Linked DNA regions of Caenorhabditis elegans. The protein of the gene in region 1 purifies or fractionates together with the protein of each later gene. This does not show direct contact. Each region holds a gene or a part of one and is shown in the gene's direction. Other genes may lie near its edges.

The links.
Region 2: the proteins of exc-15 (region 1) and adk-1 fractionate together in Caenorhabditis elegans (co-fractionation; one large-scale study listed by BioGRID). This does not show direct contact.
Region 3: the proteins of exc-15 (region 1) and gst-27 fractionate together in Caenorhabditis elegans (co-fractionation; one large-scale study listed by BioGRID). This does not show direct contact.
Region 4: the proteins of exc-15 (region 1) and dbd-2 fractionate together in Caenorhabditis elegans (co-fractionation; one large-scale study listed by BioGRID). This does not show direct contact.

Annotation. Positions count from the first base shown.
Region 1 is NC_003283.11:4,479,469-4,489,038, forward strand, and holds exc-15 (NADP-dependent oxidoreductase domain-containing protein), read left to right. Parts: upstream 1-3,990; 5' UTR 3,991-4,036; coding exon 4,037-4,172; intron 4,173-4,647; coding exon 4,648-4,985; intron 4,986-5,747; coding exon 5,748-6,196; intron 6,197-6,870; coding exon 6,871-6,949; 3' UTR 6,950-7,075; downstream 7,076-9,570.
Region 2 is NC_003282.8:11,207,206-11,215,270, reverse strand, and holds adk-1 (Adenosine kinase), read left to right. Parts: upstream 1-4,439; 5' UTR 4,440-4,466; coding exon 4,467-4,541; intron 4,542-4,614; coding exon 4,615-4,931; intron 4,932-4,992; coding exon 4,993-5,098; intron 5,099-5,158; coding exon 5,159-5,485; intron 5,486-5,537; coding exon 5,538-5,741; 3' UTR 5,742-5,962; downstream 5,963-8,065. Other genes in the region: zip-6 (BZIP domain-containing protein), read left to right, coding at 72-227, 421-710, 757-1,001, 1,548-1,620; R07H5.9 (Kinesin motor domain-containing protein), read right to left, coding at 6,129-6,318, 6,363-6,430, 6,492-6,672, 6,718-6,779, 7,156-7,213, 7,258-7,306, 7,352-7,437, 7,485-7,567 and 2 more.
Region 3 is NC_003280.10:15,162,790-15,169,897, reverse strand, and holds gst-27 (glutathione transferase), read left to right. Parts: upstream 1-4,189; 5' UTR 4,190-4,228; coding exon 4,229-4,367; intron 4,368-4,467; coding exon 4,468-4,958; 3' UTR 4,959-5,008; downstream 5,009-7,108. Other genes in the region: gst-29 (glutathione transferase), read left to right, coding at 49-187, 815-1,305; gst-28 (glutathione transferase), read left to right, coding at 2,506-2,644, 3,137-3,627; gst-26 (glutathione transferase), read left to right, coding at 5,355-5,493, 5,543-6,033; ptr-20 (SSD domain-containing protein), read right to left, coding at 6,426-6,734.
Region 4 is NC_003280.10:4,559,779-4,566,613, forward strand, and holds dbd-2 (DB domain-containing protein), read left to right. Parts: upstream 1-3,171; 5' UTR 3,172-3,172; coding exon 3,173-3,325; intron 3,326-3,414; coding exon 3,415-3,672; 3' UTR 3,673-3,682; downstream 3,683-6,835. Other genes in the region: M03A1.8 (ascorbate ferrireductase (transmembrane)), read left to right, coding at 629-820, 978-1,118, 1,162-1,589, 1,645-1,724, 1,769-1,932, 2,548-2,691.

The DNA of each region.
Region 1 (9,570 bases):
TTTTGATGTTTTTTTAGAGCACCAAAACTACTGAATTCTGAACAAAAATCTGGTGTCTAAAAAAGTTCCGTGTAGTGTGTCTGCTTAAGCATAAAAATTACTCAATTTTGTGCCATTTTACTAAATTTTTGGTGACAAAATCATTAGTTTTGGCCAAAATTGTCAAATTTTTGATGTGTGCGCCAATTTTGGCAAATCTAATTTCTTGAAATTGGCCGTGCTCGGCAATTTGGGCAAATTCGCCGAACTTGCCAAACGGCGAATTTGCCGCACATCCCTGGCCCCAATATGCGAAAAATAACTGTAAAACATTTGGTGGTAAACGAACCCGTGAATTGATTGCAGTTGAAAAAATACTGAAAATAGAAGTTCCAGAAAATTTTAGATTTTGGTAAGAAGCTAAAAACAAACCAGATATGTTATGTCTCAAAAGTAGGCACACTTACATACCAGGGCTGTGCGGAAAACGAGATTTACGCCAACCGGCAATAGCCGAAGTTGCCGAACCCATAAAGTTTCGGCAACCGGCAACTTTTCGGTTGCCGAAACGTCGGCAACTTTTGGTTGCCGAAACGTCGGCAACTTTTCGGCAACCGGCAACCAGATTTCAAAGTTTTTTTGTTGAAATTATATTTTTGAGCGTTTTGGAAAAAATTCTGGTCGTTTTTCTCGTTTACAGTGAATTTTAGCATTTTTCAGGCTCTCTGAATGCTTCTTTCTGAGCTACAAAGTGTTTGACATTGATATCGGCAATTGCCGAAGTTGCCGAACCTAAAAATTCCGGCAACTTGGTTGGCCGCACATCACTGTTAATATATCTGTTAGGCCTTCCGGTACCTGTTACAGTAATATAATATCCCCTGAATTACCGGAAGCCGTGATTCTGTGGTAAAACAAAACAAAACGAAACAAAAAAATCAATTTATTCATAAATCACCCATCATTCAGTGCCCTTCATACAACCTATTTCTTATTTTTCTTCGATCTCTTGGTCTTATCGGATTGCTCGACCTTCAGACTAGCCACTTTCTCAAGCGTGTCATCTTCATCTGACTTTTCCTGATAGAATCCGTTCTTCATTTTCTCCTTCTTATCAACTTCATTTTCAGCCATCTTCTTCTTTTTCTTACTCTCCGTTGGCATCTCGAATTTGGGGAATGGCTTCTGCGATTGGTCGACCGGTTTTGCATCAGCTGCACCACCATCTGGAACCGGGCTCTTCGTGTCTCCCTTATCATCCTTTGGGTCTTCTTTCTTCTCATCTGAGTAAGTGTTTTTGCCAAAAATAAAACTAAAAAATAGTATTTCTTTCTGATTACAACCTGGAATTAATTACCCCACTAAAACTTTACCTGTTAAACGCAATTTGCTCAGAAGATAGTAAACATTTCCCAAGCGATACAATAATTAGCGCCATATGACACAAAACAAGAGAAGTTTCATTTCTGCACATGGAAAAAACCAAAAAAATTGCCGGGACAAGTAGGTAAAACTGCATCTCGACGCACAATGACCAGGTATAAGTGAAATGTCGTCTGCTTGATTAAGCTGAAATTTTTGGTTTTTTTTTTTTTGAAAATTTTGAAGAAAGAATTATCGATGAAAAGTGTCACACCATTTTGAAATACATGTTATCGTCCGAGTGCCATATTATGGTACAAGAAAATTGAGCTGAACGCGGAGTCCATGTTCATCGAAAGAAAAGTTGTGGGGAATATGAAGAATACCAGCACACATCCTGTATTACATTTGTGTCAATACCAAAGAATTTGAACACTTCAACTGACCAATAAGAACAGTTAGCAAATACAGAGGTAAAATCCGTTTTGAACGACGAAAATAAAATTGATAGACTGAATTCCAAGTGATAGGTTTTGAGCTAATAATCATCGCCATAAGAAAACCGGAAAGCACAAAAAACCTAAAAAAAGTTAATATGAATCTATTGAATTGATAAATTTGCAATTTTACATGTCGACTCCAATATAGCCGTTTGGAAATGTTTTCGGAAAGAAGTGAAAGGCCAGAACTGCTCCGATTGCAAGCCCTCGGAGGCCTTGGAGATCATCTCGTTTCATGTTTTTACTAAATTCGGAACAGGTTTAGCTTGTATGTAGAAAATTTTGAACCCAAAAAAACCGTATTTCTTCTCATAGTATTGCACATTTTTAAAAGTTATATCTCGGTTAACATTAAATATGGCAAAAAAATAATTGTTTTACAAAACGATAGATAAAGAAATAACAAATATTTTATCAGTTGACAAGTTTTGTATAGAACAACGGACAACGGAGATATAAGCTGTCAAAGTTGAACAATTGACGTAATACTAAAAGTAGAAATACGGTGTATTATATAATCGTTTTTAAAAAAAAGTTTTAGAATTTTCTAAAAATCCAAATTTTTCATAATTGCATAGAACATTAAAAACATTACAAAAAACATCAAAAAAGATGCAGCACGAGGAACCTGACATCTCAAATACACACTGAATTATGCCCTTCTCGAGTGATCTGCTTTCGGAAGATAGCTATCGAACCCGGTAGATCAGCCTCTCGTAGATCAAATATGCGTGATAGATTGAAAATTAATCCCGAAATGTTCTTTAATATTGTAGATTCGTAATCTGTGAAATCGAAGAACCACGCTATCAAGTTTTGTTTCAAAAACTGGAAAATGCTGAACCCAAGTTTAGGAATTTTAAGAAATCGTGTACTTACCTCAAATTTTTATTTTTAATTTTCAGTAGAGGCTAGTTAGACACTTTTAGTTGCTTGGCCGTTAATCAATGGAAATTTAATAATTTATACTGTACATATGTTATTTTTCTCTATTTTTTCCATTTTATTTTCGGCAACCGGTTTTTGGAATTTTTTTTGTCAGATTTTTACAGTTTATGTTCTGGATGGGATTGTTTTTTTTAATCTCAAAATTTTTGCACGTTTCAGGTTTCAATATCATTTTACATATTCAATGAGAAATCAACTTTTCTGCAGAAGCCAGCGTCCACTTCAAAATAATTTTTGAACGGTATAGCAAATTGATAATAGTTAAGATTTCAACAACCAGGCTGTCACATAAAAATTGCACTCTATAAAAAATCGGTTTTTCAAAGAATTGGCAAACGTACAGAACTGTTCATTTCAGTACGAAAGTATAACTTTTTCAAATCAAATATTTAAAAAAAATGTAGAAAATTGTTTGTTCAATCTGAAATTTTTATTCATTTTTATTTGAAAGTTTAAAAAATACCTCAAACGGTCGTTGAAAATTTCAGTTTGCTGTGAAAAATTCAAAGTAATTTTTGCACAAAACAACAATTTTAAGGCCCTATTTAAAGTTTCTTTTAGATTTTTCAACAATAAACTTTTTATTTTCAGAAGGCCTTTCCGGCATTTCTATTTTTTTTTTTTTGACTGTAAATATAACTTTTTAAAACAATTTTTGAAAATTTTTACTATGATATTTCCTAATTTTGGCACGATATTACGCTACTTCACCTTTTAAAAATTTTTAATTTGTGTCTTTTGTTGTTTTTTCATTACTTCAAACGATCAAATAATGATTTTCGAACTCACCCACTTTTCGGTCATCTGACAACACTTTTCCCCTCTTATCTAGGCGTCCTTCATTTCAACGTCGTCCACTTCCTACTACTGTTTCATCACATGAACATCTATCTGCATGTATTTCAAATTTCTGTCAATAGTCTCAGTTCTCACATTGCCACAAACAAAAACAATTGTCATGTTTTTGGAATTTGCATGAAAAAAAAGTGAAAATTGGCCTCCGCATCATTGAACATTTTCCGTTACGGTCTTTTCATCTTTTTTCTATTTTTCCGGCATTCATTTTTTGTGACTGAGCGAAAACCGTTTGTTCATCTCTCGTCTCTATTTCTTGCCGATGGTCACAAAATACCTCTTATCATTTATTTTGTTTATCATTTTGTCATCTATTGGTTTAAACGTAGCTTCTCCTTTTACATTTATCAGTTTTCTGCTTTTCGGTCATATTCATTTTGAGTATTTGCAGAATGACCGTAGACTCTATTCCATTGAATACCGGAGCTCAGCTTCCACTTTTCGGATTGGGAACGTGGCAGGTGAAGGATGAAGCTGAGCTGACTGTGGCTCTTCGTGCAGCTCTTGATGCTGGATACAGACTTATTGGTGAGTGCTGTCCTAGATGGAAACCATAATTTTTTTTTAGTCATGTTTTCTTTTCTTCTTCCATTTGAGATGTCACAAAAAAATAATTGGAAAATAAAAACCGATTTAAAAAATGTTATTTTTGGCCAAAAACGGAAAACTCAAAAAAAAAGTGGTGGCTTGCTCAAACCAGTTAATTAAATTTTTTGCACAATTGAAAAAAAACATTAAAAATTTTGAAATTTTTTTCCAACATTTTTTACATTCGGTAACTACGACCCATTTTCAAAAAACCGACAAACTTTACTCACACCTTTAACTTCAGATTTTCCCATTCAAATTCTAGGTATTTTTCTACTTTTTGACACAAATGTTGAGATTTTTTACGGTGTCCAGTTTTTCGAGTTTTCGAATAAAACCATTGGCAAAGTTGATCCTTGGAGGGCAGTTTTGACAACGTTTTGACAACTGAAAATCCCATTTTTTCAATATTCAGACACTGCTCACCTCTACCAAAACGAGCACATTATTGGAAAAGTGCTCCATGAGTACATCTCATCTGGAAAACTGAAACGCGAGGACATCTTCGTCACCTCTAAACTTCCATTTACCGCTCACGCCCCGGAAGATGTTCCAAAATGTGTGGAAAGCCAATTGAAGGCGCTTCAACTTGAGTATATTGACCTGTATTTGATCCATTGCCCATTCCCATTCAAACATCAGGAGGGAAGCTTTGCTCCATTGATGGAGAATGGAGAGCTTGCTGTTACAGAAATCGCTCATATTGATACATGGAGAGCGTTGGAGAAGTTGTACAAGGAGGGAAAGCTTAAGGTTTGTGAGATTTGGTCTTGAAGGAACATCAGCAATTTCGATTTCCATAAAGTAATTGAATCAGGGGTGGGCGGCAATGCCATTCGGCAAATTTTTTTGTCGACAAGTTCGGCAAAACGGCAAATTGCCGGTTTGACGGTTTGCCGGAAGTTTTCATTTTCGGCAATTCGCTGATTCGCCGTTCGCCATTATATAAATTTGCCGGAAGTGTTTAGAGGGAATTTTTTATAAGACGGAAGCACTTAACACTGTGTCTTTTTGAAATTTTTTCCCGTTTTCATTAAACATTTTCAAAGGATTTGCTTATTTTTCAAAACAGATGTAGAAACATTCATAGGATGCGTACAATTTTGCCGATTAAAATTGAAATTCTGAAATTTCCAAAAAAAAAAGTGCAAAACCACAATTTTTCGAAAATTATTGGCCTTTTTTCCGGCAAATTCGGTAAGCAATTTGTCAGTTTGCCGATTTGGCGGAAATTTTTAAACAGGCAGTTTGCCCGAAAAATCGTTTGCCGTCCATGTGATGAAAAGTTTGTATTAAAAATGTTCTTATTAAATTTTTTCTTGAAAATTTCCAGTGGTTTATTCAAAAAATGTAGTCAAAATTAGACCCACCGGGTGTCAGCTGCTGTAACGTTTTTTGGAATACATATACTTATAAAATTTCAGCAGAATGTAGAAAAATTAGTTGCCAATATTTTGTTAACTATCCATGTTCAAGTTACACGTAGTGTTCTTTCTCCAAAAATATAATTTTCAGGCCCTTGGAGTATCCAACTTCAGTTGCAACCAGCTTCAAGCGCTCTATGACGCCGCCGAAGTGAAGCCAGCCAACCAACAAGTCGAGTGTCACATCTATTGGCCACAACAAGAGCTCCGTGCTCTGTGCAAAAAACTCGGAGTCACTGTTACAGCATACGCACCACTTGGCTCACCAGGCAGAAAAGCTGCTCGTCCGGACGGTGTCTGGCCGGAAGGTGACCCACTTCTCGAGCCAATCGTCAAACAACTGGCTGCCAAGTATCACAAAACTGCTGCACAGATTCTCATTCGCCACCTGACTCAACACGGTATTTCGACGATTCCGAAGAGTGTCAGTCCGGACAGAATTGTTGAGAATATCTCGACGTTTGATTTTAAGCTGAGCGATGAGGATATGCACACTTTGAACAGTATCGAGACCAGAACTAGACTTTTCATCGCTGATTTGTAGGTTTTTTATCTATGGAACGAATGTTTTAAAATTAAAAAAAACCATTTCAAGTTTGAAACTTTTATATTTTTGTCGAAATTATTTCCCCTCCACTCGCTCACTTCAGGATATTTTCCCGTCAGTGGGCCGGTAAATCTTCAGTAGTCCAAACCAAGAGTGCGCTGCAATTGGCAATTTCATCAATTGCCGGTTTTGAAAAATTCCGGCAATCGGCGATTCCGGCGATTGCCGAAATTGCAGAAATTGTCGATTGCCGGACATTTTCGGCGATTTTCAAACCTAACTATATTTCGGAAATTGAAAAAATTGCAAATTGGTTTTTAGTATTCAGTTAGTCATTTTCTGAAAGAAAGCGTTAAATCCATCAAGGATTCAATCATTTTGAGCTTGAAAAAGGAAAATTGTTCCTTAAAATGCATGTTTAGGCTAAAATTATATTTCCGGCAATTCTGATTTCCGGCAACTGGCAATTTTGGCAATTGCCAGTTTTGGAAATTTTCGGCAATTGACAATTTTGCCAACTGCCGAAATTTCCAAAATTGGCAAAAATTCGATGGTCCAAACTCAAGAATTCCAGCTCAAAATTATACAATCCTATAAACAAATTAAATCACACTTTTCCTCGTGTAGTACACAAAGCTATGCAAATTATCATTGTATAATTTTTCAGCGCTGTCAAGCATCCATTCTTCCCACACGACGACATTGACACCTCCAAAGTTCCAAAAGTTGGGATCAGACTTCACTAGACTTTTGGCTCAACTTGTGAATTAGAAAACAAAATGGATTGTAGAACTCTTTATCGCACATTTCTTATTATGAATATTTGTAATTTTGATTCGAAATAATGAAGTACATCATATATATATATATATATATATATATATATATATATATATATATATATATATATATATATATTTCCCGCATGTATTTTATGGTCGAATATCAGGGGATAAACCAGTCTCGGAAGTGTTGGCGAAACAATAAAAAAAAACAGTTGATGATCGACAAATAATTGGACAACAGGTCTCGTCTCACTTCAAAAGGTTTCCGACGAAGAGGACCATCGACCTTGAGACCAAACAAACGACAGATTTTTGATTGCATAATTGAGGATGAAGTGAAGGCACTTCTTTTTTTTGGTGTGCATATCAGATCATAGGCGACTACATTTCGGCACCTCATTTGTTTCCTTACGTTATTCCACACTTAATCTGCCAAAACAGTTTGTGGGGGTACAGGTGGTGGGATTTGGAATGAGTTCCTATAAATAATTTAGGCAAATTATGAATGCTATAGGAAATTTCAATTTTTTTTTGAGATGAAAAATGATGAAGTAGAATATTTAAAAAAAAAACAATTTAAATTAGCATATTCAAGAAAAATTTCAAAATTTTTTTATTTACAGTTTCAGTTTTTTTCTATAATAATTTTCAAGCCTACAGCAATTCTTGGAATTTTTCAAAAATTTATGATTTTGGAAATTTTGAGATTTACCAAAAACTTGACAGAAAATTTTGAAAAATCTGATTTTTTTGTAGTTTTTCAGATATTATATTTGATCATGTAAAACGTGTGTATAAGTTTATTGAGACGAAATTCCCACTCACTGCATATTTATACTTTAAAAAACTATTTGGAACAACTAAAATGTATCTATGCAAAGCAGGCGTTTCTGAAATTTCACTACTCGGTTTTTTTTAAACAAAAATCATTATTTTACGTTTTTCAGCTCGGGTGAATATTTTTAGTTTAGTCAAACTTGAAAAATATTTTTTCTCAAAATACCTGCTCCAAAATAATTTTTTTTTCCGAAAATCTATTATGAAACATTTTTATCTTTTCCAAAAGATATAATGATTTTTGCAGCTGAACAAGATATGGTAAATACTTAACATACTTATATAATTTTTGAAAAATAAAAAAAATTGAAAAAAACAGGCACTAACTTCTCAACGGTACCTTAAAAATTAGTTTCAGATCCATTTTCAAATTTTTTAAAAGTTCTGCACGCCTCGTCGACAAGAACTATTAGTCTATGTTTAGTATATTCTAGTTTTTTTTTAACATAAACGTTTTTAATTTAGTGATCTTCTAGAAAATATTAACTATTTGGCAAATTTATCTTGATCTCAAAATTATTTAGTACATTGATTTTTTGAGCCGATACCCTCTGTATACTGGGTAAACAATGATTGATAGAGTGTGCAATTTTTCAGATAAAATCAAGTAAATTTTCTAAACATTCTAAAATTTATGTTCAATCCTTTTTTTAAAGAATTAATACACTATACGAATACTCCTTCGGATTTACTGCCCAAATAGACCCCAGCCATAAAAACGCTGGATTTCCGATCGATAAATTCCCCTACACCATTTGACCCCAGGCGGTTCCCGGGAGCTAAAATTGGAAAGAGGTCAGGGAGACAAAGAGTGATGACGTGGTCACACCGCCTGTAAGTGGTGTCATTTCTTGGATTAGAGTATACTTTTTTTTGGTATTCGCACTATACTGCTATTTCGTGGTCTCGCCATGTTTTTCCGTACTCTTTTGTATACTTTTTCTTTGATTATTTGTTTGTAAATTTGATTGCTCTGAATTTGTAGTCAAGTTTTCGTCTAGTTAACTTGAAAGGTGCAGCTCTGTTTGAATTCGCCAATGTACTTTCGTATAAATACAGTTTCGCAGTACATAATTATTTCAAAGTCCCCCAGTTTTAAAAACATGGTTTTTTTTTTAAATTTATTTTTCAAAATTGAATTCTAGTTTAGAAATCTGTATTTTTGTCAATTTCCTGGCAACAATACCACCTGCCTTTATTAGCTGTGTAGTTGGCTTTGAACTAGTGTGGAGATGGCAGGCTGTCTGGGAAACAGAAGGAGGCGATGTCCTGTACGTCCACTGGCAGACGGTCTTGGCCAGTATACTTTTGAACCTGCTCGCACTATAGTGCTGGTCATGGTTCAATTTTGTTTCCTTTTTAAAAAATTGTATTTAAATTTTGGAATATTTTTCTCGGGATCTAGAATTTCACAATTGTAATTCGCCGTTTAGCATAGCTGTTTCGTACAAAATTCAACTTTTTGAACTAGTAATTAATGGAAAAACGTAGGAAAATGTTTGTTCAATCTGCAAATAATGTGTGGATTTGTTTGAAAACTTTAAAAATTCCTCAAACTGTGCCTTAAAGTTGCCTAAAATTGGCTCCAAGTTTTTAGGCAGACGGCGACTTTCCGGCACTATTTCGAATTTCAGAATAAAATTTTCAAAGTAAACAAACAACTTTCTAAGCTTTTATATGTATTTTTGATTCAAAAACTTAGATTATCATACTTCAATTAACAATTTAGTACTTCATTTTAACTC
Region 2 (8,065 bases), on another chromosome or scaffold:
CGCTCACACGCATTCTATTAATCGAGATCTTTTTGAAGTCATAAAACAAATGAAATCGTCCTTATTTACAGAATATACTATGGATGGATATCATTTCCACACACAATACAACTCGAACGGACAAGCTGGACAAGCCCAACCAGCATACCAGGTCGCGCATCAAAATCCGAGATATCAAGGGAATGTACCAGGTCGTGGAAGTAATTTCAGCATGAATCCCGCAGCTAGTAAGTTTGAATATCACACGCTTTTTTCACGAACAATATTTCTACATTTAACCGGAATCTAAAACCCTTAAATTGAATAGGAGTGATTCTCGATGTTAGAATTCGTTTTCCAGTACGGATTCTCCGATATAAAAAAAAAAGAGGAACGTCTTCCATAACGACTCTACCGTACATTAAAATATTTACTTTTCAGATCCTATGAGTAGTCAACATCAATATCCATATGACCCTAACTTCTACCCAACTGATCAATCATCCCATGTTCCACACCACTGCGATCAAAGAAATCATTATTTTTATGGAAACGTTACCATCAAAGAGGAGCCGTACATGTCAAACGTTCTGAACCACGACGACGACCAAACTCATATTTCCGATGAAGGCTTTGGGGAGGAAGATTCTGAGATGCATACAGGAGCATTGCCAAGCATTGATACACCGAAGAAAGAAAGAAAATATGAGAAAGTATCTGAAGATCAAAAGGTGTGAACGCTTTGCGTATTACATTAAACAATTTATTTGGTTTCAGGATGAAAAATATTCTTCTAAACGGGAAAAAAACAACTTGGCAGTTAAACGATGCCGTGAGAAGAAGAAGAACGAAGAAAAATATAAGAAGGAAGCATTTGAGAACTTGATTCGCAGTAATTTGGTCAAGGATCAAAAAATTGAACAATTGAACAATCTGGTTCAGTCTGGAAAACAGAGAGAAAATGCGAGAATCATGGAAGTACAGAGGGAGAAGAACATATTGAGACAGTTAAAGAACGAGTTGTACGTTTTTTTTTTTCAAACAGATTGTGAGAGTTTATCGAGAATTTTTGTAGAATTTTTGAGAATTATTTAACAGCTGTGTGATGTCAGAAAAATTGCATTTGAAATATGTTATGCTTATTGTGCGAGTCATGTCGGTTGTATTATTTTTAATGTAAAAGCTGATGTGCATCCAAAATTAATTTTCTAGATTTATGAGAATTTTCAAGAATTTTTCAGAAAAAATATACAGGTACGGCCTATTAGGGTGTTACGTATAACAGTATTACAGACCTATACAGGACCTATTAAATTCAGCTTAATACAAAACCGCTCAATAAGGACAGGACAACGTAGCTTTCTTTTTTTCATTATTATCTTAAAATAAATGGGAATGTAATAAAGTAAGAATGCCTAGGAACCCTTTTTTAGTTTTCACATATACTTTTTTCGCAGAAGAAAAGGCCACTGCAGCATTTTAATCGGAAAATCTCTATATTCTTCATTTGAACTGGGGTTTTTAGAGTTCAATATAATTAAAGTTAGTAATCACAATTATTTTTTCAGGACTCGTATTCCAAATGCACAAATGTTGGAATACTACCCAACTCTCAAAGAGGTCCTCCACTACTACGCCTAAAATATTTGATGTTCGTAATCAGATGTAACTCATCTTATTCCCTCACAATCTCAGTTACGGATTCTCCCCAGTGATTTACTTCCCGTGTTTTATTCCAATGACTTTAATTTTTGAATTGCCATATTTTCCACAATTTCCAATACATATCTCATTTCTTTAAAATAATGTGTAAAAGATGTAATTGTTTTAATAATAAAACTCAAGCAAAACATACAAGAAACCTCCTTCGAGAAGTTTTTAATATGCTTCAAGAAACTGGGAACAGCATGCGTTGTCTTCAATAATTGTTGTAATCCAATTAGTTTCTTGTTTGGGTTTTTCTTAGTAAATTTTTTCAATGAGCTAACTAGTAAGCCATTCTTCAAGTGCAAAAATAGCTGAATATCATAGTAAATCGCTGTAGAAGAAGAAGCTCAGGTTTTTTCCTTTATATTAATTTTGGAAATCGACAAAATATAGGTTTTTTCTATGGAAGAGTATGTTTCAAAAATTTGTATTTGAGCATTGTGAGTATTCAAACATACCACAATGCTCTGCATTTCTGAAAAAGCACAAATTTTTCGCGCATTTGGCAAATTTCCAAAACTGTAAATTAATATACACAAATATTGGTACAGAATCCCAATGACACTACCCCACCTGAAAAATTTCCAAAAATGAAACAAAAAGTTGAAAATCTTTTAAAAGTGTCATCAATAGGAAAATGATAAGAAACAATTTTCTGAGATCACTGATTTTTACTGATAGTTGGTTGTCTTCATTACTTTCTTCTCGTTTCGTTTCAAGTGTTTCAAATAGCACAGAATATGGTTTAAATATTGAGTAACTTCAGTATGAAGTTGTTTAAAACTGCTCCAAATATCGTTGTAAAACTTTTCGCAAAATTTTTGAAATAATTTTTATACAGTCAAAAGGAATGAAAACTAAGAGTTTTTCTATATTATAATTTTGGAAGTAGAAAAAATGTTACATTTACCAGTTTCATTTTTTAGTTCCGTTTCAAAGAAAAAAATTTAAATAGTTTGGACCTACAAATATGCTTGAAATAACTCAAAAATACGCATTTTTGGCCAATTTTGGCAATTTACTAATGTGCGGCCATGTTAGACTACTTGGAGTTTATTGAGACTAAATCTCCAGTGGCAATATTAAATCTGTAACACGTTTTTTCATTTAATTGAAATATGCAAGTTCTTCAAAACGTAGGTTTTAAAAGTATTTATTTACAATAAGTAAAAAGATTTAAATGTTTAATTTTCATAGAAAATAATGCTCTATAACGGCTATCTATTATATATATAGTGAATAGTGCAGTGAAGGAGAATATGAAAATTCACCTATTAGCTGAGTATCAACTCACAACGTGGGTACGAAAAAAACTTTGTAGTTTTTACTTTTCGGAGTATATAGGTAATTGTTTAACTACTGCCAATAAATATGAGTACAACTTCTATATTACTCCACATAGAAACCCCAATAGATCATTAATTGATCGACTATCAACTTTCAATCAGGCCATTTTCGAAAATTTTTCTCATTTTGAGAACTTATGTGCAGGAGACACCTTCTGTTCATAGAACACAATGGAAATCAATCGGTTTTTTCATAACAGTTGCCGTTGTAGTTTCTTCTCTTTTTTCTATCTTTTTTGCAACTTCCACATGAAAATTGCATTACGCACTGTGTCTGTTTATTCAGGCTTAGTTTCAATTTTAAACTGTTTGCAATAGACTTTAATGTAATTGCTAGGTTTAAAAGCCATTGACAACTAAAATTGTTTTCTAAATTGAACATAACTTGTAAATTGTCTCGTTCAAACCACCACCGCAAGTTAGCCAACTTTTCTTGTTCTGAGGCTAGATGGCATATCGGTAGATACTATCAGTGTCACAATTTGCCGGTCAAAAAACCGATAACGAAATAGCGGAGATCTTTTAGAAACTGCAGACAGACTGGGGAGTAATGGACGATAAAATAGAAGATAGGCTAGTTGGAAGGCGCATTTCTCATCAGAATCGTGTACTTTGTGTGTAACTCATTCTCATTTTTGTCCAAGTTCTAATAAGTTATCTTATTACATTTGAATTTCCACGCCTGATCGTTCACTTTTCTGGAAACTCATCGCTCCCACTTTCGAAAATCGTATTTTTACTATGAATTTTTCAAGTTCTACGATTTTAAAGGGAGGAGCATTTATGCGGATTGGTCTCGCCACGCGCCAGCCATTGATTGAGAAAAATATATCAATAGACGGCTCTTGGCGAGACCATTCCGCATAACTGCTTCCCACTTTAAAATCGTAGAATTGGAAAAGAAATACACAGTATTCATCAAACAATCAGCCATTATTAATATATTATTCAAAATATTATTCAAAATAGCATTCACTAATTTGTGTTTGAAGGAGGTACTTCCACATTTAGAAACTTGCAAATTTTATTCTTGGTTTTTTTAAACGTTCATGTTTTTTAAGATAGCAACGGTGTTTTAAAAACTTTCCGCTTCTGTCAGCAAAGATTTATGATCGATAAAATCTTAAAACACGTTGCAACGACACTCCGATATCCCATGCGATCGTTGTTTATCAAAAATGTCTTTCGGCCGGAATTTCAAATTACAACGTGGATTTCGTGGAAATGTATTGTCCTAAAACACAAAATATCTTGGCTTTACAGCGTTATTCGTGTTCAAAAAAGCACGAAAACGGTTTTTTCGCACTCTTTCTTTGCCAATCTTCTTATTTGTTTTCTCTTATGTCTATTTACTCGTTCAAAACTCGCCTTTTTCTCACTTTTCATTTTCTAATTGTCTATCTGCAGGTAATCCCATCTCCTCACGTCACGGAAATGTCTCCTCTGCCAGAAAACACCCTCATCGGAATGTGCAATCCATTGTTGGACATTCAAACCACCGTTGAAAAGGTAAGTTTTTGATTTCTCTAGAAATCTAGAAGCACATTCAAAAATATTTCATTTTAATTGCTGAAATCTACAGGCATTCCTTGACAAATGGGGACTCAAAGAAAACGACGCCATTCTTTGCGACGACAAGCACAATGACATGTTCACCGAGCTTACCAGAGATTTCAAAGTCGAGTACATTCCAGGAGGAGCCGCACAGAATTCGCTCCGTGTTGCTCAATGGATTTTGAACGCACCAAACCGAACAGTTTTCTTTGGAGCTGTTGGTAAAGATCAGTACGGAGATCTTTTGGCATCGAAAGCCAAAGAAGCTGGAGTGAATGTGCATTATCAGATCAACGAGACAGTTAAGACCGGTACCTGCGCAGCCCTCATCAACGGAACTCATAGGTAAGCGGATCATTGTTTGACGGACAGAAAAATCATCGTTGCCGTGTTGAAATGATTTCAGATCACTCTGTGCTCATTTGGCTGCTGCTAACACCTTCACTCAAGATCATCTCCAGAAGGAGGAGAATCAGAAGATCATCGAGCAGGCCAAATATTTCTATGTCACTGTAAGTTATCGAATTGATTTACAAATAAGCACAAAAGTATTCTCAATGTAAAATTTTCAGGGATTCTTCATCACTGTCTGCCCACCAGCTATTCTCCAACTCGCAAGCCACTCTGCCGAATTCAACAAGACTTTCACCCTTAACCTCTCCGCCCCGTTCATCTCCCAATTTTTCTTCGATAAGCTCTCGGAAATCATTCCATTGGTCGATGTTCTTTTCGGAAACGAAGACGAAGCTGCTGCCTTTGCTAAAGCCAATGGATGGGAGACCACCTGTGTCAAGGAGATCGCTTTGAAGGCTGCTGCACTTCCAAAGAAATCTACTAAGCCAAGACTCGTTGTTTTCACTCAAGGACCAGAGCCAGTCATCGTCGTGGAAGGAGATAAGGTGAGAGTTTTTGATAATTTTTGAATTTATTGTTTTCAATTTTAATCTACAGGTCACCGAATTCCCAGTAACTCGTCTTCCAAAGGAAGAAATCGTCGATACCAACGGTGCCGGAGACGCTTTTGTCGGAGGTTTCCTTTCTCAATTCATCCAAGGAAAGGGAGTCGAAGCTTCAGTCACCTGTGGATCTTATGCTGCTCAAGAAATCATCAAGAAGCACGGATGCACAGTGCCATCTGTTTGCAAGTACCATTAAACTGATAAAATAATCTGTGATCCCAACTTTCTCTGCTTTCAATTTCCCAGTCCCCTGGTTTATAGTATATCAAATTGTTCTTTGTTTTGCTCCCCATTCCCCGTCCTCGAGCATCCCTATTATTCGAAATTTTTCTTTTGGTGTTGTTTTTTTTGTCAAATGTTCCCAAAATGTGCCTTATAATTCATTTATCAGGTGTTTTAATAAAATGGCAAAGTTTTATTCTTCATCCATGTCGATTTGAATTGGAATCTTCTTCCCCTTTTCGACAAAGCCAATCAGATCCAGAACCAGAACGACACTGCCACGGCTGAAATAAAGTTTGTTGCATATTTATCAGGACTAGAGGAATATGATTACTTACAGTTTTGGTAAATTGTAAAACTGTTAGTGATCAACGTCACTTTTCCGAACACGTCGAAGTTTCTGTACGCCGTTCTTATCAAGGAAAGCAAAAAGAACATTAGTTGATTTGATCAGTTGTTCCGCTGGTAGACCTTCGTAGTTCTCATGAAGGACATTGATTAGAATGCTCTTCACATGAGCAGACAATACACTGTCAATGAAAGCAATCGGTCTGGAACTTACTTATCAATTGCTCATTCTGAAAACGAATCAAACCTGAGTTTATCTCGGATGATTGGTCTCTCGATGACAACTACTTTGACATTTACACATCCGTTTTCATCCTGAAATTTAAATATGATTCTTTGTTCTATCTCAAATAGTAAAGAAATATTTCCAACTTACCAAAGATCCTACGTTCTTGAACTTTCTATGTGGAACCTTTGAAGAACGGCTACTTTTTCGAGATTTCTTCGATGATTTTTTCGATGTGTCCGATTTCGTCGGTTCAGAATCATAGCAAGTTGTAGATGTTGGAGCGGAAGAAGAAGCAGTAACTGAAGAGCTTCTTGATTCAGACACTTCACTGAAACTTGAAATCAAATTATTTTTCACCATGTCGATATTTTACCACTGTTGAGAACGGCTGCGAAGATCTGGAGGAAATGGGAGTCCGTTGTTCAATGTTTCACTCTGAAAAAAAAAACGGAATTGAAACGAATCCAGGCAGGATTTCAGGAATATTATCCCCGAATCTTGTATAGTTTTTATAATTATGTTCACCGACCTCGGGTCTTGACCCGAAAAACTCTTTTCAGCTACCGTACCCACAAGTGTATGGTAGACTTTTTTGGCGAACTTAGATATAAGATATTTGACGAGCTGTTGGTAATTTTTTTTAAAGAAAATTCAAAACTTTTCAGTTTGAATATGAAATATTGGAAAACCACTTTTTGCACTATGAAACTCGAGTACTCAATTTATTGAAAATTTCTATATAAACTCTAACTCTAGAGATCCTAACTTTCTGCTCATCGTCTCTCATATCATGATTTTTCTGATAACCTACCGCTTTCTCTCTCAACGAGTTTGTACGACTTTTCTCATTGGTTATTTTGTATCCCATACTGAAATGGTTCAATTTATAGATAATTATATTATTGAAGCTTACAGTTTGCTAGTCTTCTTGATATTTTTCTCCTTGAGTGCCAACATAATTTCTGAAATAAAAAAAATGTAGCACTATAATTTTTTAGAAACCCTACTGTTAGCCTCAGTGCATGAAACTCGATACTTTTCATCGGCATCTGGACTTGAATCTTCCCAAACTATTGAATATTGAAAAGTTGTTCTGAAAAATTTGTAAATGTTCTAGTGTTCGGGTACCATCGTACTCACTGATTAGTTGGAACATCAAATGCAACGTGAAGCTCAGAACTTTTAGCCTTATCTCCAATCATTTCAAGACATTTTGGCAGAAGCTAAAATCAATAAATAATGATTATTCTGAATAATAAGTACATCTTCTAATACCATAAGATTGTTGGCATTTTGATTGACCTGATCTTGCTGGAATTTCAGAATTATTTTAATTTATCAATCCAATTTCAAAACTCACCTGAACTTTTGGATTACACTTTACGGCGGCGTTCATCATAATTTTCTTTTCTCGATCCAATTGTTCAGTAATTATTTGAGAAATATTAATAATGAATTATTTGAAATTTCAAGAGTAAAGAAATATGAATTTTTTTTGGGAAAAAAAGTGAACGTGTACTTTAGTGGTCATTCCAAAAAGGTTACGGTAGAATAAATAAACAAGCTATCTTAAGTTTTAAAAATAATATTCTCATTGAATGTGATACTTCAAAAATTGTGTCCTACAGTCACGTCCGGAATATTATTATGACACAATCAAAAAGTTTTTGTCAAAATTTTGGAAAGGTGCCGAATTTTCCAAAAATGTGGATTTTTCGAGT
Region 3 (7,108 bases), on another chromosome or scaffold:
GACAGTCAAATCTGATTTCCAAAACTTTTCGCTTTTAAGAGTTCAATTATGCCTACCTACAAACTGTCCTATTTTGACGTTCGTGCCTACGCTGAGCCAGCTCGAATCCTCTTTCATCTGGCGGGAGTTCCATTTGATGATCATCGTTTTCCACATGGAGATGGTACATGGGAAAAGCTTAAAGACAGTGAGTTTTTCTTACAATTAGAGGTGAACTTCAAAATTGGTAAATTATATTGAAACCTTGTTTGATTTCCAACGTTCAAATTACAAAACTTCCTATTGTTGTATGATAATCGGTTTTTTTAAGTTAAAATTATTATATAAATGTAGGAAAAGATTTGCTCAATTTGAAAATCCTATTTATTTTAGTCGAAAATTTGAAAAAAATTCTAATCGTGCTGAAAGTTGACGTTTGCCATTAAAAGTGTTATGTAGCAGTTATTCTTAACTTTTGTTCATCAGACACAGACTTTATCCCTATTTTTTGGACACATTATTAAATGATAAGGTTATGTAACAAAGCCTCAACCCGTTCCCACTTTTTCTGTATTATTCCACAATATTCAATATAATTTATAATTTATAATTTTTCCTCTTTTTTTTTCTCTTATTTTCACGTTTAAATAAACGTATTCAATAATAATAATAATGTATACTGTTCAGATCAAACGAAATTCTTCCTAAATTTTTGTTCAAAAATTTCTTATTGAAAATTTACAGTCTATTTGAAGTATTTGTCAAAAAACGGGCCCAAGAAATTTTCAATCACAAATATTTATCTGAAATTTTCCAACTATTTTATTTTTTCCAGAAACTCCATTTGGCCAAGTTCCAGTTCTATATGTGGATGGATTTGAAATTCCACAATCTGCTGCAATTATTCGCTACCTTGCCAATAAATTTGGATACGCTGGAAAAACTCCAGAGGAGCAGGCTTGGGCAGATGCTATTGTGGACCAATTCAAAGATTTCATGAGCCTATTTAGAGAGTTTAAACTTGCACAAAAGGCTGGAAAATCGGATGTGGAAATTGCCAAAGTTGCCTCAGAAGTTGCAATTCCTGCTAGAGATTCGTATTTTGAAATCATCACAAACCTCCTTGAAAAGAGCAAGTCAGGATTTCTCGTTGGAGATGGGCTCACATTTGCTGATATTGTCGTGGTGGAAAGTCTTACCAACCTGGAGAAAGTTCATTTTTTCGATGCATCGGAGCACCCGAAATTGGCAGCTCTCAGGGAGAAGATCTACGCAATTCCGGCAATCAAAAGCTGGGTGGATATTCGACCAGATACTATTTATTAATTTAGTTTCTGGATTTCTTTTGTGAATAAATTGAAATAAATTCAGAAATATTCATGCAACTATTTTTATACTTACAATTAGAACAATTTTATTTTGGCGGGGACCGCGGACAAATAACGGGCGAGACCACAAATCAGGGGTGGGCGGAAAACGATTTTTTCTGGCAAATAGGCAAATAGCCGGAATTGAAAACTTCCAGCAAATCAGCAAACTGGCAAATTGCCGGACTTGAAATTTTCGGCAAATCGGCAAATCTGCAAATTGCCGGAATTAAAAACCTCCGGCAAATCGGAAACCGGAAAATTGCGGAATTAAATTTTCCGAGAAACCGGCAAATCTACAAATTGCCGGAATTGAAAACTTCTGGCAAATCGGCAAACCAGAAAATTGCCGGAATTGAAATTTTCGGCAAATCGGCAAATCTGCAAATTGTCGGAATTAAAAACCTCCGGCAAATCGGAAACCGGAAAATTGCGGAATTAAATTTTCCGAAAACCCGGCAAATCTACAAATTGCCGGAATTGAAAACTTCTGGCAAATCGGCAAACCAGAAAATTGCCGGAATTGAAATTTTCGGCAAATCGGCAAATCTGCAAATTGTCGGAATTAAAAACCTCCGGCAAATCGGAAACCGGAAAATTGCGGAAATAAATTTTCCGAGAAACCGGCAAATCTACAAATTGCCGGAATTGAAAACTTCTGGCAAATCGGCAAACCAGAAAATTGCCGGAATTGAAATTTTCGGCAAATCGGCAAATCTGCAAATTGTCGGAATTAAAAACCTCCGGCAAATCGGAAACCGGAAAATTGCGGAATTAAATTTTCCGAAAACCCGGCAAATCTACAAATTGCCGGAATTGAAAACTTCTGGCAAATCGGCAAACCGTCAAATTGGGCTCAGGCTCAGGCTCAGGCTTTTGAAGTCCTAGTTTCAACAAAACCAAAAACCACAACCAAAAACCAAAGTGGCAGGAAACGGCAAAAGATCAATCGTTTCAAATTGTTCAAACACAACCAAGCATCAACTGCCAGCACACGTGAAGGCAGAGACATAGACGGTAAACATATAGTATAAAAAGGGTTGGCAAAGTTGTACAGAAAAATAATTGATGCGATTATTTTGTTGTCCAATTATTTTCGGCGTTCCAGTTTTCCTTTTTTGCGTATAAATACTACTTCATTACAGAAAAGTTGTCAAAAATGCCTACCTACAAGCTCACCTATTTCAATGCTCGTGGATACGCTGAGGCCGCACGTATCCTCTTCCACTTGGCAGATGTTCCATTCGAGGACTTCCGTATGACACACGGAGATGGAACATGGGAGAAGCTTAAAGACGGTTAGTGGAGATTTGGGGCCTACCGATTGCCTGCCTATCTTATTATAGCGCGATATTTTGATAAGAAGTTATGGATGGCATTCAAATTTTAAAAAAAGTTCTGACAATAATGGGAAAGCCAAATTTTCTGAGCACACGGTCTTGGATGGGTTAAATTTTTTTCAAAAAATTGTAGGCATCATTTTTCGTAAAAAAGGCATTCCAAATTAAAACAAAAAATTATTTAAAAAATTTCGCCGGAAAAATCAATTTTTTTTATAAAATAGTTTTAGGGCTATGTATATGTAATTGTTTCGAAACTTTTTTAGCGGGAAATTCACAATAAAAAAAACATTATTTTTCACGATGAAGTTTTGGATGGGATTCGAATTTTAATCTAAAAATTTTTTTCTAGAAACTTTTACAACTTCTGGAGCTTTTTGGAAAATTTCTGAAAATTTTGAAATTTTTAGAATGCTCCAAATACTTACTCACATATATATATTTTTTCAGGCGCCCCATTTGGTCAAGTACCTTACCTGACCGTTGATGGATTTGATATCCCACAATCTGCTGCAATAATCCGCTACCTTGCCAACAAATTCGGATATGCTGGAAAAACCCCAGAAGAGCAGGTTTGGGCAGATGCCATCGTTGATCAGTTCAAGGATTTCATGGGATCATTCCGCGAACGTATCATGGCACATTTCGCTGGAAAATCTCAGGAAGAAATTGCAAAGATCACTTCTGAAGTAGTGATTCCAGCTAGAGATTCGTACTTTAAGATTCTCAATGGGCTTCTTGAAAAGAGCAAGTCAGGATTCCTAGTCGGCGACAGTATCACCTTCGCGGACATTGTCATCTCTGAGAATATTACTACTTTGGAGAAAAATCAATTGTTTGTTGCTTCGGAGCAACCAAACTTGGCTGCTCTTCGAGAGAAGGTCTATGCAATTCCAGCTATCAGGAAGTGGGTAGAGGCTCGTCCAGATACTCAGTACTAAATCGAAAATTTTCTTGAAATTTTGTTCAATGAAGTAATATAATTACAAATTCGAATAAATTTTTAAAATGCACCACTATTTGCATTCTTATTTGCAATTTTCCTCTCAATCGCAGCTGCCTTCTTCCTCTAAAACCCGCACTCAACATCATTCTCAACAACACCGTTTCTGCCAAGTGCACGCGTGGCCTGCTGGATAACGAGTTGGTCTCTCGTTCCGACTGCCACAGGTTCGTGCCCTCTCACCGCCTCTCTACCAAACACTTGCAAGTTCTGTTTATTGCAAGTGCATGGAAGAGGCGAATAGAAAACGGAATGATGTCCACTCCTTCGATTATCGTTCATTGGATTGCGGGCACTTTACCTCGTTCGACATTTTTTATTTTAACTTAAAGTAGAATTTTGGATTTTATTGACTCTCCGTCCGAATTTTTATTGACTCTTCTCCCACCTCCCCCCCCCCCCCCCCATCCATTTCTTGGTTTTTGGTTTATTGATCTCCACGACAGTTTGATAACACTTTGCGGAGGAATTTTTCCCAATCATTTTGCTTGCAGAATCACACAAGAAAACTGTCTGGTTGTGGTTTTCATTTAACTAAAATGCCATCCTACAAGCTGACCTATTTTAACGTGCGTGGATATGGAGAACCAGCTCGTATTCTGTTCCATCTTGCCGATGTTCCATTTGAAGATTTCCGAATGACCATTGGAGATGGAACATGGGAAAATCTCAAAGCCAGTAAGTAATAGCGACCTTGAAACGCCATATTAAAATTTAAAAAAAACTGAAATAAAGTAGCCAAGACAGAAATTGAACATTATTTTTTGTTTCTATTTAGAAACTCCATTTGGACAAGCCCCAGTCTTATCAGTTGATGGATTTGAAATTCCACAATCCGCTGCAATCAACCGCTACCTTGCCAAGCAATTCGGATATGCTGGAAAAACCCCGGAGGAGCAAGCCTGGACTGATGCTATCGTCGATCAATACAAGGATTTTATGGTATCAATCAAAGAAGTGGGAAAAGCAAGCGCTGCTGGAAAGTCTGCCGAGGAGGTCGGGAAGATCATCCAGTCAGATCTCGTTCCGGCAAGAGATGCATTCTTTGTGATAATCAACAAGATCCTTGAGAAGAGCAAGTCCGGATTTTTAGTTGGAGATGGTCTAACCATCGCAGATATTGTGATTGTGGAATGCATCACAACTTTGGACAAACATCAGCTCTTCACTGCATCGGAGCAACCAAAATTGGTCGCGCTTCGAGAGAAGGTATATGCGATTCCAGCAATAAAGAAATGGGTTGAGATTCGTCCAGATACCCTGAACTAGGTTTGTTTTAAATGTGCTGATATATTAATTCAATAAATCGTTATGTTATGTTCATGTAATCTCATTTTATTTTCAAATACGTTAATTCTGAACGTGTTAATTCTATTTTTAACTTTATTTTTCTATCTAGATTGAAGCTAAACTCAGTTCTGTTCAATTTTACAGTTAAAAAAATTTTATGGTCCAGGATACATTTTTTAAAATTGTACAATTGACCTTAAATTGTTATTTTTCTCTGAAATACTTTGTAAAAATTAATCATGGTTTGACTTTTTCTGTCAAATATTTGATAAGACTATGCGGAAAGACTGCATTTTTCCAATGCTATTTCGAAAAATTGTTTGATATCGGAATCACACTATCACACATACCTATATTTAAAACAGACAGATCACTATGCCTTCCTACAAACTCACCTATTTCAACGCTCGTGGCTACGGAGAAGCTGCTCGTATTCTCTTCCATCTTGCCGATGTTCCATTTGAGGATTTCCGTATGACCCATGGAGATGGAACATGGGAAAAGCTGAAAGAAAGTAGGTCATTTATATGTGGCAAACACTAAACTCAAAGTAAGTATTTCAGAAACTCCACTCGGACAAGTCCCGGTCCTATCCGTCGATGGATTTGAAATTCCACAATCTGCTGCAATCATCCGCTATCTTGCCAATAAATTTGGATATGCTGGAAAAACCCCGGAAGAGCAAGCTTGGGCAGATGCCATCGTTGACCAATTCAAGGATTTCATGGGATCCTTCAGAGAAGTCGGAAAAGCACATGCCGCTGGAAAGCCAGCTGAGGAGATTGCAAAGATCATGCAATCAGATGTCGTTCCGGCTAGAGATGCATTCTTCGTAATCATCAATGGGATCCTGGAGAAGAGCAAGTCAGGATTCTTGGTTGGAGATGGGCTCACTTTTGCCGATATTGTAGTTGTGGAGTGCATCACAACTTTGGACAAAAATCAGTTATTCACTCCAGCGGGAGAGCCAAAGTTGGTTGCTCTTCGGGAGAAGGTCTATGCGATTCCAGCTATCAAGAAGTGGGTCGAGATTCGCCCAGATACTCAGTACTAAAGTTTGTTGTAAATTGTTTGATAATTGAATACAATAAATAGTTTTAATATCTCCTTGTAAAAATTCAAATTATTGTGGGAATATAAATTCACTAGTGTAATTTAATTTTCTAAAAATTTCATAGTTCTGTTCGCTACAGTAACAGTGCTGCTTGAGTACCGAAGATAATTCTCAAGTGCTTCGAACCACTCTTTTCATTTATTTCATACTCATATGTAACCTAAAACATAGAGCTGTGTACTGTTTTACTATTGAGTACGAAAATTTTATTTCAAACATGTTATCAAACAATCAATGGAGATGTGAACAACCCGTATTAGATGATAATACAATCAATGGAAAAGAAAATACCCTGGGTTTTCAAAAAAACATACAAACTACAACAAAACGCTCTATGAAGCCAATTCCATCGAATGCGGAGTAGGAGCAACTGCACGTTTCCGTCGGAATAAGAGCTTAATGTCATGCGTTAAAATGAATATTACTGGCAACAGAATGAGAGCATGAAGCATTCCAAGTATACCGACCAGGATCACAGTCTTCCAGAATACTGCTACAACATACGCACGTACAAACATCAATGGGAACATGCCAAGAATCGTGGAGAGCCCGGACTGCATTACTGGCCAGGCGACTCCGCGGAAGGTGCTTAGAAGACGGTCACGAGTCTCGGCGTAGTTATGTGATCTCCAGAGTTGCTCCTAGAAAAATATGAAGTTGGTTTGAAAATGGGGTACGGTTGTTTGGTATGGTGGATGTAGTGTGAAGTATGTAAACATCGTGTGGGGCTGTCCCATTACGGTTTGATCTACAAAAAAAATGCGGGGATATTTCGCCAAGAGAAATGTGTTGAAAATCAGTTGAAATCTCTGCGTCTCAACTCCCGCATTTTTTGTAGATCTACGTATTTCAAACCGAAATGGGACTCTCTGACACCACGTGATGGTACAATAGTTTAAAAATAAGATCATAGATTAGGGTACTGTAGGGTTAATGCATGTTTCAATTTTATAGTATAGTATTTGACTAGAATGCCAGTACAGTAAGGGGTACTGTAGCTCGGGCGTCTTAATAA
Region 4 (6,835 bases), on another chromosome or scaffold:
AATATTTGTCAATTCTTTTTCTATAGTTTTGTAGTTAATTGTTTATTGGTATCTTTAAAATCAACTGAGATACCTTTAAATGTGGAGCAATTGGGTGCGGTACTAATAGAAAACATGCGGTAAGTTTTTTTTTTGGTAATTAGTATGAATATCTTCAGTCAAATTTTTTTTTAACATTCTAAATTTTCATAAATTATTTCAAAAAATTAACAAAATATATATGAAAACTGAAGTCTCTAGAAAAACTTAAAAATAACCAGACATTGCAAACTCGTGGTCAAAGTTTATTTATGTTAAAAAGTTATTATTAATTTTCATCGCTGTGGTAACCATTGGTTACCAAGAACATGACATCATTTTATTAATGTTTAAAAAACACGTCGATCCGCCTATTTTGATTTTTACCAAAAACTGATTTTCGTAATACCTCCAATAAGTCCCCCCAAAAAATGTACAAGATCAGTGAGATAAGATCAGTGTCACAAACTCTGCGTCTCTTCCTAATCCACCACATTCCAGTTGCTCTCTTCTCCCTTTTGCGTCCGCTGGTCACTTGAAATACCAGTTCGATGATGACATTTCAAATGCCTATTTATACAAAAAGGAGAAAACACAAAGGTAGTGCAAAATGTATCACTACTCTACTCTTTTTCTACTTGCCAGTGGTTTTGTATTTTCTACTGCAAAATGCCCGGCGAATTCATTTTGTTTTTCACCAAGTCGTGTGAATATCACAGTTACTTGCAATAAAAACGATGGATTCATGAGTTTGAAATGGAAAACAGAGGAAAAAAGGTCAGCAGTGAAGATATACAATGGGGTGAGATAATTTATCAACTTTGATTCCTCATTATTTTGGTTTATTTTGGAGATATCGATAAATGTTCAACTACAAACCTACAGAAAATATTTAACGAATCAGTTCAAGACAACTGAGATATGAGATGCCTCTTCTATTGATTTCGTTTTTTTTGCAGGTGAACCTTCTTGAATTTGTTTGCGGATTTCCCATTGGAAGCTCAAATATTGATGTCAAAACCTACAAACTAGAAACTTTGAAATCTGAAAATTTAACGTCGTGTGAGATTGATTTTTATCCGGGGGATGTTCTATTGATGGTAGGTGCCAGAAATATATCCTGTAATAGTTTTAATTTTTCAGAGTGAATCTTCAAGCTTAAAATGGTCCAACGAAAAGTCCGAATTCTTCAATTTCCATGAAATTTGCAATCCGAAAATTGAAGGTCTGAGTAAAGAATTCAAACGATTACTTGTAAAATTACATGCAATTCTAATGATTCTCGGATGGCTTTTCTTTGTTCCAACGGGATTTTTATTTGCAAGATATGGACGGCAAGTGTTCAAAAATCATACAATTTACGGAATGTTCGTATGGTTTCAAATTCATCGAGCCTCAACTTTTATTGGTGTTTGTTGTATTGTAACCTCGATTTTGTGCATTTTAATTTCAACAAATTGGACCTGGAAAGGTACTGGATCTGAAGCATGGTACTGGACACAATGGCACACGGATTTTGGAACGATTTCTACTATTCTGGCATTCTCCCAGCCGTTGAATAGTTTGTTGAGGTAGATTTATTTTTGTAAAAAAATAGCAAAATTTTATACTTTTTATTTATTCCAGATGCCCACCTTCCAACTCACAACGTTCAATTTTTAATTGGGCTCATCGAATTGTTGGCCTTCTCTCCTACACTTTTGCTGGTAAGTTTCCATGACTAGAATTCAAACTTTTTATACAAATTAAGTGGCCGCAATCTACGTGGCTGCCGCCAATTATCGAAAGACATGGTCAGAGCCAACAATGGAAATTGTGCTGACCAGTGTGCCGACCATTTTGTGTATCGCCACAGGATTCGTAGTTTTGTATTTGGAAAGCGAGCAGAGAAATGGGTATAGGGAAGTTGAAATGGTAAGATTTTTCAATTTGCATTTAAAGTTCTAAAGTTGGAATATCCTATGCAATAAGAACATTTCTACGAAGATCATACCATATCATGTTGCGAATCACATGAACCAGCAGTCCGTATGTAGTTTACTCCTACGGGCAATATAGGCCAAATCACTGGAGATTAAATGATTAATTTATTTTTATTTCAATTATTGGCAACAAAAATTGATAATTTAGTATTAAAGAAGTGTGGAAAAGGGGGAAAAGTTTCTAAAAAAGTTAGTGATCCAAAACATAATATCTCATTTGTAAAACTAATAGTTTCGGTAAACAGTGAGAAAAATGAGTTTAAAAATGTTTTAAACTTGAATTCCCGCGCACAAGAAGTTTGAATATTTTTTGAGAATTTTTTTCTTAATTTTCAGAATTTTGTTGAATGTTCAAAGCACCTGAATTGCAATTTTTTGCATCAAATTTGAGAAAAAAAACTAGAATTTTTAAGGTAAAAAGAACATGTTTTATTAAAATTTTCAAGCAAAAAATTCTACAAAAATTAAGACTAACTTTAACGTCACAAATTTTTCAATTCAACATTTGTAACACAAAAAAATGTTCCACAAAAGACACAACTTACAGATCGAAAAATCCGAAAAAAATTCCAAAAAACCGGAGCGTCTTCAACTTATCCAAATCTCATGGATGTTCGCCGTTGTTGGAATCTGCTTCGGTGTCGCCATTTCATTATCTCTTCTGATTGCAAATGGATTCAAAAATGACTAATCACCTCTTTTTCAATGACAACTAATTCTCGTACCAACCACTTTTCTCTTTCTGACCTGACCTGCAATAATCCATTAAACGGCTGTGTGTGTCCTCTTTCTCACTTTATCACCAACTATCTCTTCTAGAAAATAAATATATATTTTCTATATGTTTCTTCTTATAACAGAGTCTATACATTATTACATGCAATTCATCTTTCGCAACATTGACCGGCCTCAAAAAATCCGATAAAAGTACAATGGTGACTGGTGTTCTAGGAAATAGGATTGTTATGATAGGGAGTGATATCTTATCTCTTTTATTATCACAGCCTGACCTCAATATGTCAGAGGTGGAGTCTTCCGGGTGACCCTTTAAATAGTCCGGGCCTTGACACCGATAGGCTGTGTATTCTTCATTTCTTCGATCTTCCACCTGTTGCAGTTTTCTTTTATTTTTCAAAGTTAACATATCTATATTCATAGTAATTAATTCTAGAATGAACCGCTTCGCAATTCTCCTGGCTCTCCCACTTCTTGCTCTTGCTGCTACTCCAAATGAGAAGCTGAAGCTATGCTGTGCCACGTTGAAGGATGCCGATAAGGAGTGCGTCGATCGATTCTGTGACTTCAATGCTCTTTCTCAAGCTAACGTAAGTTGTCTCCTGAGAGCTAGTTGCGCGTCAATTCTGATGTATTTAGTCAGCTTACTAGAAATAACCATTACACGTTCTTATTTCAGATTCTGAACTTCATGTCGACTTGCGGAGAGCGTGGACCAACTGTCGGAGAAATGTGGGATTGTGCTTCCCTCCGTCACAACCACGAGGACTGCTGCAAGAAGGCCGGTGTCTCTGGAGAATGCCTCAAGTACTGTACCGCTCATAAGGGAGCTCCATCCAACTATTTGGACTATGCTTTCTGTACCGAGAACTTCAACGAGATCCGTGATTGCTTCTACAACCATTTGGACAAGAACGAGCCATTCAAGAAGCTCTAAATGGAAATATAATAATTGAAATTTTCTTTATATTATGAAACGTGTATTTAATAATATGGAATAAAGATCAACTTGATGATAAAGTTAACAGTTTTCCAAGCTATTTTGTCTTTTGATTGGCTTGTCCGGAGTTCTGGAATTGCCAGTTCAAAGGCACATGATGTTTTTCCAAGTGGGTCTCGCCACGATCTCAGACATAATTGTCGTTACAGGGCCCAGTTTTCCAGGTGAAATAGAAAATATAGTTTATGAAATTTCAAACTCAAAATTTCCGGTAGAAAGCCCGGATTTAGGACCTAGTTCCATGTTTCCGCAATGTCCTACAAAATTCCCCCATTTTCCAAAACTACAGTAATCATACAGTACTCAATCACTACTTTACCCAAGCTACAGCAACTAACAACATAACTTTCCCAAGTTTCACGTCTCGCCTTCTTTCTCGTATTGTTTTGTTTTGACAATTTGAAGGAAAAAGCTGTTGAGTCGAGTGTTTGTCGGGGCGGCTCACACTGTAGTACAATAAGGCTTCACATGCGCCTACATAGGTAATCGCGTGCACTTAAAACGGAAAGTTGCTCACGGAGAATAAGAGAGATAGAGGCTCGGCTGTTTGTGTTTGATCTACATCTATGAACCTCAAGATGGGCATAACTTCAATATGTTTAGTTTAAAAATTTAACAAAATTAGGTTCGAACTTACTTTTGGACTATCAAATCAGACCTTTGCCATTTTAAGAAAACTGTTTCAATATGTTGAAATATATTTGAAATATATTTTTAAAATATTTGAAAATTGAAATATTTTTGAAATATATTTGTTTCGCAGTTTTCCAAAATTGTCTGAAATATTTTTAAAATCCCTGCCTTTTTTGACTCTGCTTCCAGAAAAGTCTATGAGGAAATTTTGTTAGTAAAAGCTCGTAAATATGTATTTCAACCTACCTCTGACTCAGAACTACTCGGAAGTATGACCCGAATGAGTCAGGAGCTTAAACTTTCACTTTCTTAAGAATCCCTCGAACGATAACCAATTATTTTTCTTCGTCGAAAATTTTAAATATTCTCAAGAAATTAAAACGTGGAGGCCTTCATCAGAAGAAGAAGCACGCAACGCCTTCATTCGAATTTTATTACCAGTTCTCTGTTTCTCCCATATGTTACAAGTTGTGCAGATGTGTGTGCGCACGTTTGGCCCCTAGTAAAATGGTCGTAAAACTACGAAGGAGCAGACGGAAGCTCTCCTGCTGCTGTTGAAGATGATGACGTGGCACTTTAATTTACAATATTGTGTGCTCAGGAGGCTTCATGTTTGACAAGTACAACATCAGCACACTCAAGTTTACCCCATTTCTTTTCAAATGTTTTTGTTGTTTTGATTGGAAATGTCAAAATGGTGATTGGATTTTGGTTTCCAAAAAATATTTGGAATGCGATTTGCTCCATCAAATTATTCAAACCAAAGTGTTTTTAATTATTTTTTTGGTCAAAAATCTATTTTGGACAGCTTTTGGCACTTAAATCGTGTAAACTTCTAACACTAAAAAAAGTTTCTGGAGGTGAAATTGAACGGAAAATGGGAATTGAACCCCAGCCCTCTCCCATGCTAAGGGAGCGCTCTACCACTGAGCTATACCCCCGACGAGTGATTCGGGTGATCAGGGCAAAAAATTTTTCGGTGGCTTATCACTGATACAACCAGATTATGTACCTGGTTGCAGAAGAAAAATATGTACAAGGTCTAAAAAAGTTGAGAAGCATACTACAGTATTCTTTAAAGGCGCACACTTTTCTGCACCCTATTAAAATTTTTCATTCGTCTCAAGACCATGTACCGTAGTTTTGCGTAAAAATTACATGATTTTGCGGCCATCGCAGTTTCTTCTTATCAGTGATAAGCTATCAAAAAAATTTTTGCCCTGGCCACCCGAATCACTCGTCGGGGGTATAGCTCAGTGGTAGAGCGCTCCCTTAGCATGGGAGAGGGCTGGGGTTCAATTCCCCATACCTCCAAGAATTTTTTAGCGTTTGGTCACAAAACTTTCTTATTTTGTCTAGCGTTCACTAGAAAAAAAGAAAGTGCCGAAAAAACTTCTATCATCAAAATTGTAAACCGTTTTCTTAAACTTTCACCCACCATTAAACCGTAAATCTTTGTTATTTTTTTCCTCTAAAACAATCAACCAGTCAGCCGGTTGGCTACCTCCTAATCCCAAGTAAACCATGCATATTTAGTGTCAGGAATAACCCTAATCTCCACCTCCACCCGGTTACAATTGGCGCAAAATCATCATTAACGTGGCTATTATGCGATTAGAGACCGCCCGTGTGAGTTGACTACGGGTCAGTCGTCCCCCACAATCATTGTTTCTTTACGACAATTAGGAAATCCGGTGCTGTTGGGTCAGATAGCAGAGGATTACCCGGAGGTGCTGATTTTTACCGATCTTAAATTTATTTTATTGAATAATTTTATAGTTTTAAAGTGTAAATCTTGGTCTAACTGGAGCCCATGTTATGGGAAGATGCTCGTTAAACATTCCTGTCCGTCCAAAGGTACTTGACAGACATATGGCGTACATAACTTTTACTTTAGACTCTGTTGAAATGGCAGAAATGAACGGAAATACATTAACTGGCGCCGCGCACAACATTATGTTGATTGCAACTTTTGAAAATGGGCTCGTTTAGCTATTGAGCACTCTTTTTTAAAAATGTTTGCAAGTTTCCCTGAAAAAATCAATAATTTCCACAGTAATCTTGAAAGACGCAGCATTCATACTCTAGAGAGGGTATCGACACGAAAACTAGAAATGTCGTTTTTCAGCTTGCTTTATCGAAATTTGCTGTTTTTTTTTTGATTTTGCAAAGTTTTCAGATGTTCAATTAATTATTTTTAAATCAAAAAATAAGAAGGAATGAAAAATTGTTCAAATGTTTCTCTGAAAAAACTCAATAAATTAAAAACCTGATACCGTAGTCTTTAGAGGCGCATAGTTCAAGCTCTAGAGAGGGTCTCGACACGAAAGCTAGTACTGTAATTTTTCTAACTTAAAAAAAAATCTTTTTCTTTTGCTGTTTTCTTTTAAATTTTGCGTTTTTTCAAGTAATTTTCCTGTTAATATTTTAATTTTTAATTTTTGTAAAAGTAATTTCGCGTAGAATC